Linked DNA regions of Mus musculus. Each later gene encodes a partner of the first gene's protein in a complex. Each region holds a gene or a part of one and is shown on either strand. Other genes may lie near its edges.

The links.
Region 2: the proteins of Lepr (region 1) and Lep are in contact, whole or in part, in a crystal structure (PDB 7Z3R), measured with the Mus musculus proteins. Residues at the interface, in NP_666258.2 of Mus musculus: Tyr439, Leu440, Thr441, Arg466, Ser468, Leu469, Tyr470, Gln499, Pro500, Ile501, Phe502, Leu503, Leu504, Ser505, Val560, Phe561, Glu563, Asn564; in NP_032519.1 of Mus musculus: Lys26, Val27, Asp30, Thr33, Leu34, Lys36, Thr37, Thr40, Arg41, Gln92, Gln96, Asn99, Asp100, Glu102, Asn103, Asp106, Leu107, Leu110.

The regions. Positions count from the first base shown.
Region 1 is NC_000070.6:101,716,249-101,720,745, forward strand, and holds the start of Lepr (leptin receptor isoform 1 precursor), read left to right. Parts: upstream 1-1,657; 5' UTR 1,658-1,690; intron 1,691-4,497. UniProt on the Homo sapiens protein: Receptor for hormone LEP/leptin. On ligand binding, mediates LEP central and peripheral effects through the activation of different signaling pathways such as JAK2/STAT3 and MAPK cascade/FOS.
Region 2 is NC_000072.6:29,058,930-29,063,273, forward strand, and holds the start of Lep (leptin precursor), read left to right. Parts: upstream 1-1,291; 5' UTR 1,292-1,319; intron 1,320-4,344. UniProt on the Homo sapiens protein: Key player in the regulation of energy balance and body weight control. Once released into the circulation, has central and peripheral effects by binding LEPR, found in many tissues, which results in the activation of several major signaling pathways.

The DNA.
Region 1 (4,497 bases):
TCTTTTCTTTTTTCTCTTTTCTTTTCCTTTCCTTTCTTTTCCTTTCTCTTCTTTTTCTCTCCTTTCTTTTCTTTTCTTTTTCTTTTCTTTTTCCTAGCAAGTATATAAAGTCATGATTCCCTCATGGCACTTGCATACACATATCCTCTTGCTTTGCTTCTCTTTACCCCCTCCACCAAAGCTTAGCATTTCTAGGTTAATGTTGCCTACCCCAGATGCCCATGAAATCTTTTATGCGGTAGTAGTGGCATTTCTGAATGAAGTGGCTTTAACATATGATCTCAGGGCCACCACTTGTCAGAACAGTGTCACTGAAAGGCCATGCCTGTGGGGTGGGGTGGCAGTTTCTGTAATGGCTCATCTCATGGGATAGGAGCTATGCTCTCAGTCCTGTGGTGGCTGGGTTAATTCAGGCAATTCACTTGTAGAGCCCGTTTTTTGATGGCCTTCCTAGGAGAACGATGGTCAAATTAACCTTGAGAGACCTTTGCTTGTAACTGAGGATTTACCCAGTCTAAATATCTCTACTCACTTTCATCTTTACTGTTTCTCTTTCAGATCTACTGTACAGCTGGGAATTTTATAAATGCTTATGTCCTCCTTCCTCAAGTTCAAAGAGAATAATGTAATACATCAAGTCCTCAATAAACAGACATAGGAAGTAAGCAGATGAGTGAGTCACATTTTGAGCAGAGAGCAACAAATGTACTTTGAGTTTGGATTCTGACTCTCTAAGGACAGATTTTTTTCCATCCATCCATCCATCTATCTATCTATCTATCTATCTATCTATCTATCTATCTATTTTGTAACCTGCTACGTCAAATGTCATTGAGTTCCAGGATGGAAAACGAAGTGTTCATTAATCAACTAGATGCAGGAATGCCCTCTTTCCCTTTGGGACAAGTAAGGCTGAGGTGATGGCTGATGCACATCAGGGGATAGGGAGCTCCTGACTGTCCTATTGGAGGGGTAGGGGGTAAGGGTCTTTCCTGGTTCTCTTTCCCACTTGGCACTTTCCTTGCGATTATTACTGCAGCATACCCCACACCTGCTGCTGTAAAGGCCAGAGAGGACAGAATCAGCCCTCAAAGCTTCGCCCAAGCTCCTCGGCCACGCGCGCAGCGTCCCCGCCGCGCAGTCACCTGAGTGGCCAGTGCCCCGCAGCGTCGCGCCCGCGCACGAGTGGTCGGCACCTTCTGAGCCAGCAGCATAGAGCCCAGGCATCCCTGCTTTACGCCACTCCGGGACACAGGTGGGACACTCTTTTAGTCCTCAATCCCTGGCGCGAGGCCACCCAAGGCAACGCAGGACGCAGGGCGTTTGGGGACCAGGCAGCAGACTGGGGCGGTACCTGCGGAGAGCCACGCAACTTCTCCAGGCCTCTGACTACTTTGGAAACTGCCCGGGGCTGCGACATCAACCCCTTAAGTCCCGGAGGCGGAAAGAGGGTGGGTTGGTTTGAAAGACACAAGGAAGAAAAATGTGCTGTGGGGCGGGTTAAGTTTCCCACCCTCTTCCCCCTTCCCGAGCAAATTAGAAACAAAACAAATAGAAAAGCCAGCCCTCCGGCCAACCAAAGCCCCAAGCGGAGCCCCAAGCGGAGCCCCAGCCGGAGCACTCCTTTAAAAGGATTTGCAGCGGTGAGGAAAAAACCAGACCCGACCGAGGAATCGTTCTGCAAATCCAGGTATGTTGAGGCCATCTAAGGCACTGGGTGTCGGGGCGCGACGCTACTCGTGGACTCCTGCCTGCAGAGGAGTTCTTCGGAGGGGCCTGAAGGGTCTGTGTGTATCCAGACAGTGACGCAAGCGCAGCGACAGCGCTCCGGACCCAGAAACATAGCACCTGGGTTCAGCTGTGGTTTCCGATTTATCTTCAGGGGTGTGTGCTTAGCCTAACCTCCATGGGTTTCTTGTCTATCACATTTAGAGGGTTGGATTCATTTCAGAGGGCTTTTTAATAATACCTCAGGTGTGCCTCATATTAAAAATCTAGACTTCTGTAATTGCTAATCTTGCTAATTTCATGAAACTAAAAGACTCCATTGGTCTTGGGTTGGGGTTTTTATGTGCATTAACAATCAATGTTTTCAGGATTTTTCAGTTAATAGTGGTAGGGAAAACATAGCATTTGTAAAGAATTTGGAAATATATAATTAATACAAGAATAGATCACCTGGCACTAAAAGAGTCATGTTACCTTTAAGCCAATGTCTGCAACACTGAAAAACTGAATAGAAAAAGGAAGAAAGAAGTACCGCAACTACATAAATAACCTGTGGCTTTCACACAGTACTTTTTTTTTTTTTTTTGTATTGTATATTTGGAAGAAAAAAATTGTAGAAAGCCAAAAATTGTAGCTTTCTCATCAAATACTGTGTGGCACTTGTGGCTTCTTAGCATAAAGTTGTGTGCAGAATGTTTAAGAAGTGGTTTTCCAGACCACTTCAGAGTGTCTCTGAAATGAATCTCAATAACAGAGACAGCAACTTCAGTGATATGTTTAATAATCTTGGAATGAATCCCAGAAAATAGTAGAGGTTAACTAAACAGATCAATCAGAAATTAGTACTACACACACACACACACACAGTAGTACTATAACGTGGCAGTGTACTTTTTGCTTAATTTTTGAAAAACAGAACACCTTGACATATGTGGGCACAGAAGGAGACAGTAGCTTTTTTTTTTTTTTTTAACCACATAAAATATTTTACTGTTGGTATTTTTAAAATTGTTTGGGATTTAGACACTGCCAGTTAGGCTAGGCATAGAAGCATTTTTAGCTAATTTTGTTGGCTATGGTCTAAAATGAAATAATGTCTTACCACCCACAAATGCTTTGTGTGCAATCTAAGAAGCAAAAGGACTTTGAAGTACTCCTTTATGAACACAGTTTAACTTATTTTCAGTTCTTTCTCTGTCTTTTGGCTGGGAAGAACGTCGACCAGTTTCTCTGTGGTCCTCATAGTACCCCCTGAAGCAGAGGCTCGGTTCCTTTGAAACTGAGCAGACTGAAGTGGATCCTGTGCTGATTAGCTAGGGAGCCTTAGAGCTCAGATACCCTGCTGGTGCTTGCTTGAAAAACAAGGGGAACACTGCAGGCATCTGCCTCTTAGATCCAGGCCAGCTCATTCACAGCTTGGGGAGCTGTGGAGCTTGGCAGAGACCCTTTTCTCTTTTGCAATGTGGGGCTCTACTCTCCTATGACTTTATCGAGGAAAAACAGTCATTGCTTCGCCCTTAGATCACTAATACAGGACCAAATGGTTTGTGTTTGTGAAGTGGGAGGTCTTGGAAATAAGGGGGGGAAAAGCCAAAATAAATGAATTCTTTTGGCAGATACTGTATTGCATTTTTTTTTATCCTTAGAGGCAAACACTCATACTAAAAAATATGTCCTGTGGAGTTAAAAATGAAGAGAAGGCTTACGCTCAGTTCAAATTCTTAAGATTTTATGTGATTTACAAATTCCAATTTTAATTAAATTAGAAAAGTGCGAATGTTCACCTACTGGCCAGACTTTGCACATACATGCTTTTGGGGTTTTCTATTTGGATTTGATCTTTTACAGTTCAGAATATTTCTTCTGAAGCACACACCCACACCATCAAACAAACAATGTGTAGCTCAGGCTGATCTCAGACTCATTTCGTTGCGGAGGATGGCCTTGGGTTTCTGGAGCCTCTGCTGCCTGGATGCTGGGATTGCAGGTCTGGCCCACCTGGTGTATGTAGTGCTGGGAATCAAACCCAGGGCTTCCTAGGCAAGCACTCTGCCGAGTGAGTGGCACCTGCAGCTCTTTTAAGTAATATCTGCAAAATATCTGTTGTCTTTTCACACCCATGATCTTAGTCTTTAGCTGTTTTTAACATTTGAACCCTGACAACTATAGGGAGAAATGCATAAGATGATTGTATTGGCTGGTAAGCCAAATAGCGAATCATTGCAATGGGCAATTATAAGAGCAAAGCTTTTCTACTCATTATTTAAGAAAGATAACATGACGATGTCCAGACTCGGTGCTTGCTTCTTCCTTACCACCAGCCTTGTTTTTGCCTATTTTAAAAGAAAAAAAAATCATGAATGTTGAATGTATCTTTTTGTAGATTATTTAGGCTATATATTGTGTCTGTAATATTGTTATTTTCTTCGCTTCCATTCAAAGCAAAATATTATTAATGAGCTTTTTATACTCTCTGTGTTTTTACTCCCCCCCCCCTCTTAAACTCATTCCTATACAGTTTTGAATGCTCTGCCCAAGTTCTTCAAGGCCTAGGGAACTGTCAGGTAGGTCTCTGATGACATCAGCTTTGCCATTTGGTCTCAGTGTTCATTCCATTCTGGCAGCCTTGTCCCGGCCGGGCTGCCACATCTTCTCCCTGATATCCAGGGTGGCATGGTTTGTGCTTCCCAAATTTCTTTTTCCCAGGCTCCACCCTTCTGTCTGCTTTGGTGGTCCCCTCTTCAGAGTCTTTGCTCTGTATTCTCTACT
Region 2 (4,344 bases), on another chromosome or scaffold:
GTGGAGAGCAGGGCCTATGCAAAACAGGGGGGGTTCTGTGGGCAGAAGGGATGGACCTGACTCCAGGAACGCCCATAAGAGACGGGCAGGACTGGGAGCCAGGAGCAGCCAGCGCAGGTGTGTGTAGGTTTCATAGTTTGCAGGTTAGCAAACAATTCTCGCTTGGCAGGCCAAGAGGGAAATAAAGGTTACCCCGTGGGTACTTATACAAGAGAAAACAAGACAATTTTTGGTTGACCAAATTCAGAACTTTATTTGAGGATGCTAAAGTTTTAATTTCTTAAACTTCTCATGTCAGAACTATTGTTCTTGTTTGTTTCCCAGCCATTTAATAATGTCTTATAAAAAAAATCATGCTATTTCTATTTTTGTACCGGGTAGTACCAAACCAGGCAGTCAGGATTTAGGGGTTAGTCAGGGTCTTTCTACTCAAAGTAACTGTCTGGCTGGTTCTGAGGATGATGGTTTGTTTTCAAAGCTATTTTCAGTTGGGGTGAACTCAATAGGCCTGATCCAGTTGTTTCACACCTGGATCCCTGGCTATCTCTAATCCTTAACAACTAGCTGAGGTTTTAAGACAGAAAGCTGAACTGTTCTGTATCTGTTTCCTCCCATTAGGAACCCAATGATATTCTTGCCTTAATGAAAAAAAAAAAAAAAAAAAACAACAACCGAAAACAACAACAACAACAAACCAAACAAACATTGTTTGATCAGGGACAGGCCCTTGCCACCTGCCCCTGGGACTGGTCCAGAGCATCCCTAAACACACTTGCGACCTTCGAAGCAGGTGCATTCTGTGATGTCACAGGATGAAATGAGACGACTGTTCTTCGGGTACCAAAGGAAGACAAGTTGCCCTGAGCTTGGGACCAGTTTCTCCTCTGAGCAGCCAGGTTAGGTATGCAAAGAGCTGTCGGAAAAAGCAGCTGGCAGAGTCCTGGCTCACTGGTCTCCCTGTCCCCAAGCCAGCCTTCTGTAGCCTCTTGCTCCCTGCGGTGCTGGAAGCACCATCCCAAGGGACCCGTCCTTAAACTACCGCTGCTCAGTAGCTGCTGGCCGGACCTCGAGGATTACCGGCTCATACCAAGCGCCCCCAAACTTGCACTCGAGGGCGCGGCTGAAGTTCTCCCTCGAGGCGCCTAGAATGGAGCACTAGGTTGCTGCTGCCACTGTTGCTGGCCCGCTGGGTGGGGCGGGAGTTGGCGCTCGCAGGGACTGGGGCTGGCCGGACAGTTGCGCAAGTGGCACTGGGGCAGTTATAAGAGGGGCAGGCAGGCATGGAGCCCCGGAGGGATCCCTGCTCCAGCAGCTGCAAGGTAAGGCCCGGGGCGCGCTACTTTCTCCTCCACCAGTCTTTCTAATAGCACCCCATCCAGCTCTGGAAATTAGAGAAACTGAGGCAAGAAGGAGGTCATGTGGACAGCTTGGTGTTGAATTCAGTAGTTTTGCAGCGAGGGACTCTGCAGACAGAGGGAAGGCTGTTGGGAGCTGAAAGGCATTAAATTCCTGGCTGGGCCGGCCTGTGCCCACAGGGCACCAACCTGTTCTTGCAAAGCCAGCCAGGGCTCCAAGCCTGTCTTTGGTCTGCAGACTTGAGATGGTTAGGTTTCCCACAGCGTTCAGATGGAAAAAGCAAGGCTGGACGTGTAGTGAGGCAGCCACAGCTTTCCGCCTTCCTGAAGGCCAGATACAACCTTGCTTTGCTGTTGAGAGTTCATTTTCCAGTGAGGGCCTACCTAGTACTAAAACTACTGTTGAATACAGGTGGGTAGAAAAACTGTCAGGAAGAACCCAGTCCCCTCCCACCTTCACCCCCAACTTGAGCGTGCACACACAAACACACACACACACAACCAAACAAACCATCATCAACAATAAAAAAGCTAGGGCTCTCTCCACATCTGTCCCAAAGCCATTCAAATTCTCTTCTTTGGGGAACAGAACAGCAGATTGTGGAGAAGGCTTGTAACCTGCACAGTTTTTGCTGGTAGGCATTTCTACCCAAGATGGTTAAATACACGTTGCCAGCCTGAGGTCCCTGCATGCCCCTCCTTCAGCTTTCTTTCTTGCTGGGGTTAGTATTACTGCATTGTGGGTATGGTGCCCTTACACTACTCTATGTCTTACTGGGTGCATTAGATATGCCACGATGCCCTGTGTACATTGCTGCTTGGGAGAGGACAAAGCAAGCCAGTCATTTCTATTGGGAGCATGGGACTCAGGAGAGGCAGGCAGAGGGCAGGGATTTGGTGGCACCATCCTGGGAGCATAGGCTCTCTGAGCACTCTTTGCAAGGTGGGAATGGAATTCCAGTAGTGAGAGTCATATTTTTCGTAGAGTTTGTGATGGGCAGTGGTCAGCTGGGGCTGGGGGAGAGCATCTCTGACCTATTGCTGATTTGTACGGTGCATGGAACCAAACTTGAAAGGAGGCATGTCTAACAGTCACTCTCCTGGTGACTATAAGGACCACACTGATCATGTATTTCATTGAGGCACGAGAGAAGCACCTCTCTCTCTCCCCCTCAGACTTCTTTTTTTGGTTCTTTCCTTTCTCAAGCACTCAAGATACTGGGCTTAGGGGAACATGCCCGTGTTGGCTAAAGAAGCATCCTTCTCATATTTGGTAGATCTCAAACCCAAGTAACAAGTTCTTCTTGGTATCTGGGGGGAATATTTTCCTCCTTCCCCCCCACCCCCCGTGTTCCAGGAAAAAGCTCAAAGAGCCAAGGACAGAGCCAGGGATGCTGTAATAAATTCTTGTCCATCAGCCCCGGGCAGATGCCTCGCATGTCTGAGTGACCCATGTGGGATGCAGAGATGGCTGCCGGAGACAATTCCCTTTACAGAGCACCAGTCATTGTTGCACCCCATACCCTGTATCCCTCTAGAGGCACATAGGATACAGGGAGATAGAGCAGGGTCTCCAGGAACATGGAATTCTTGTGGGGTGGATATCATTGAGCATTCTGGCCCATGGACACAGCCTTGGAATTCTCTCTCCATACATTTGCCTTCCAGAAATGCAGAGGTTAGACTATAAGGAAAGACAGGGCACTCAGATACACCAGGCAGATCAGCGCTTGCTTCCCATGCCCTGCTCTACAAAATACTGCATGATCCCATCTCTCCTGCTGTCTGTGAGCTCTCTAGATCTACAATCATGTCTGTGCTGACATTTCACCTAAACCAAAGACTAAGACTCCATCTGTGTGCGCATTGTCTTTGCCCTCAGGAGTACCACAGAGTTCTGCAGGGAAGCCACACAATAGGCATAGGAAGCTCAGTATTGGGTTCCTTGGCAAAGACAGGGCACCTAGAGTGCTGGAAATGGACAGACATAGAATGGAAATAGACGGGTTGGTGGTGGGGAGTCACTGGGAATAACAGTGCACACAGCAGAGGTAAGACTGAAAGGAATCAGAACTAGGTAGGCAGGGATACAGGAGAGATGTGGAGGCTTTGGAGGGAGAGAAAGACAGGCACTGGAGCACTTTAAGACAGCTTCTTAGGTATTTCTGTGGGGCAAAAGTAAATTCTAAAATGGCAGGCCATGCCTGCAATCTCAGCACAAGAAAGACAGAGGCAGGAGAAGAAAGAGTTCACGGCCAGTCCGGTCCATGTGAGGGCATCTCAAAACAAAGAAAGATGATTTTTCAGAGGGAAGCCACCTTAGGAACATGTTAGCCTGGTCAGCGATGAAGGATGGGGAATACTTTACTTATTCATTCAACAAAAATTGAATAAATGCCTGCTCTGTGTCAGGCCCTTGGTAGATGCTGAACCAAGTGCAGGCGTCTCTAGTAGAGTGTGGTGCCCCTCCTCTCTGAGTGCATGGCAGGAGCTCCAGATCCCCTTTGGACAGTGCTCCAGGGAGTCACTGAAAATTGATCAGAGTTGATGCAGGAGTTGAAATCTATTTGCTTTCCCTAATGGGAATGAAAAGAATATAACCCCCTCACCCACACTGTGCCTACCAGCTAAGAATGTCAGCATGATTTCTCAAGCAAGGCCTTTGGTTGCAGAGAAGAGAAAATTGCTCCTGCTAAGATCAGTGATTTTCAAATTGTATACTGTGGCCAGCACTTGAAGAATGAGCTGAAATCCCCTAGAGATCACCTGCAGCAAGGGCAAAGCCTTAAAGAAAAAAAAAAAGAAACTTTTAAAAAACACTGTGTGTGTGTGTGTGTGTGTGTGTGTGTGTGTGTGTGTGTGTCCAAGAGAGCCATAGCACATGAGTGGAAGTCAGAAGACAACTTTCAGGAATCAACTGGTTCCTTCTACCATATGGGTGTGGGAATTGATCTCAGGTCATCAGACTTGGAAGAAAGTGCCTTTACTC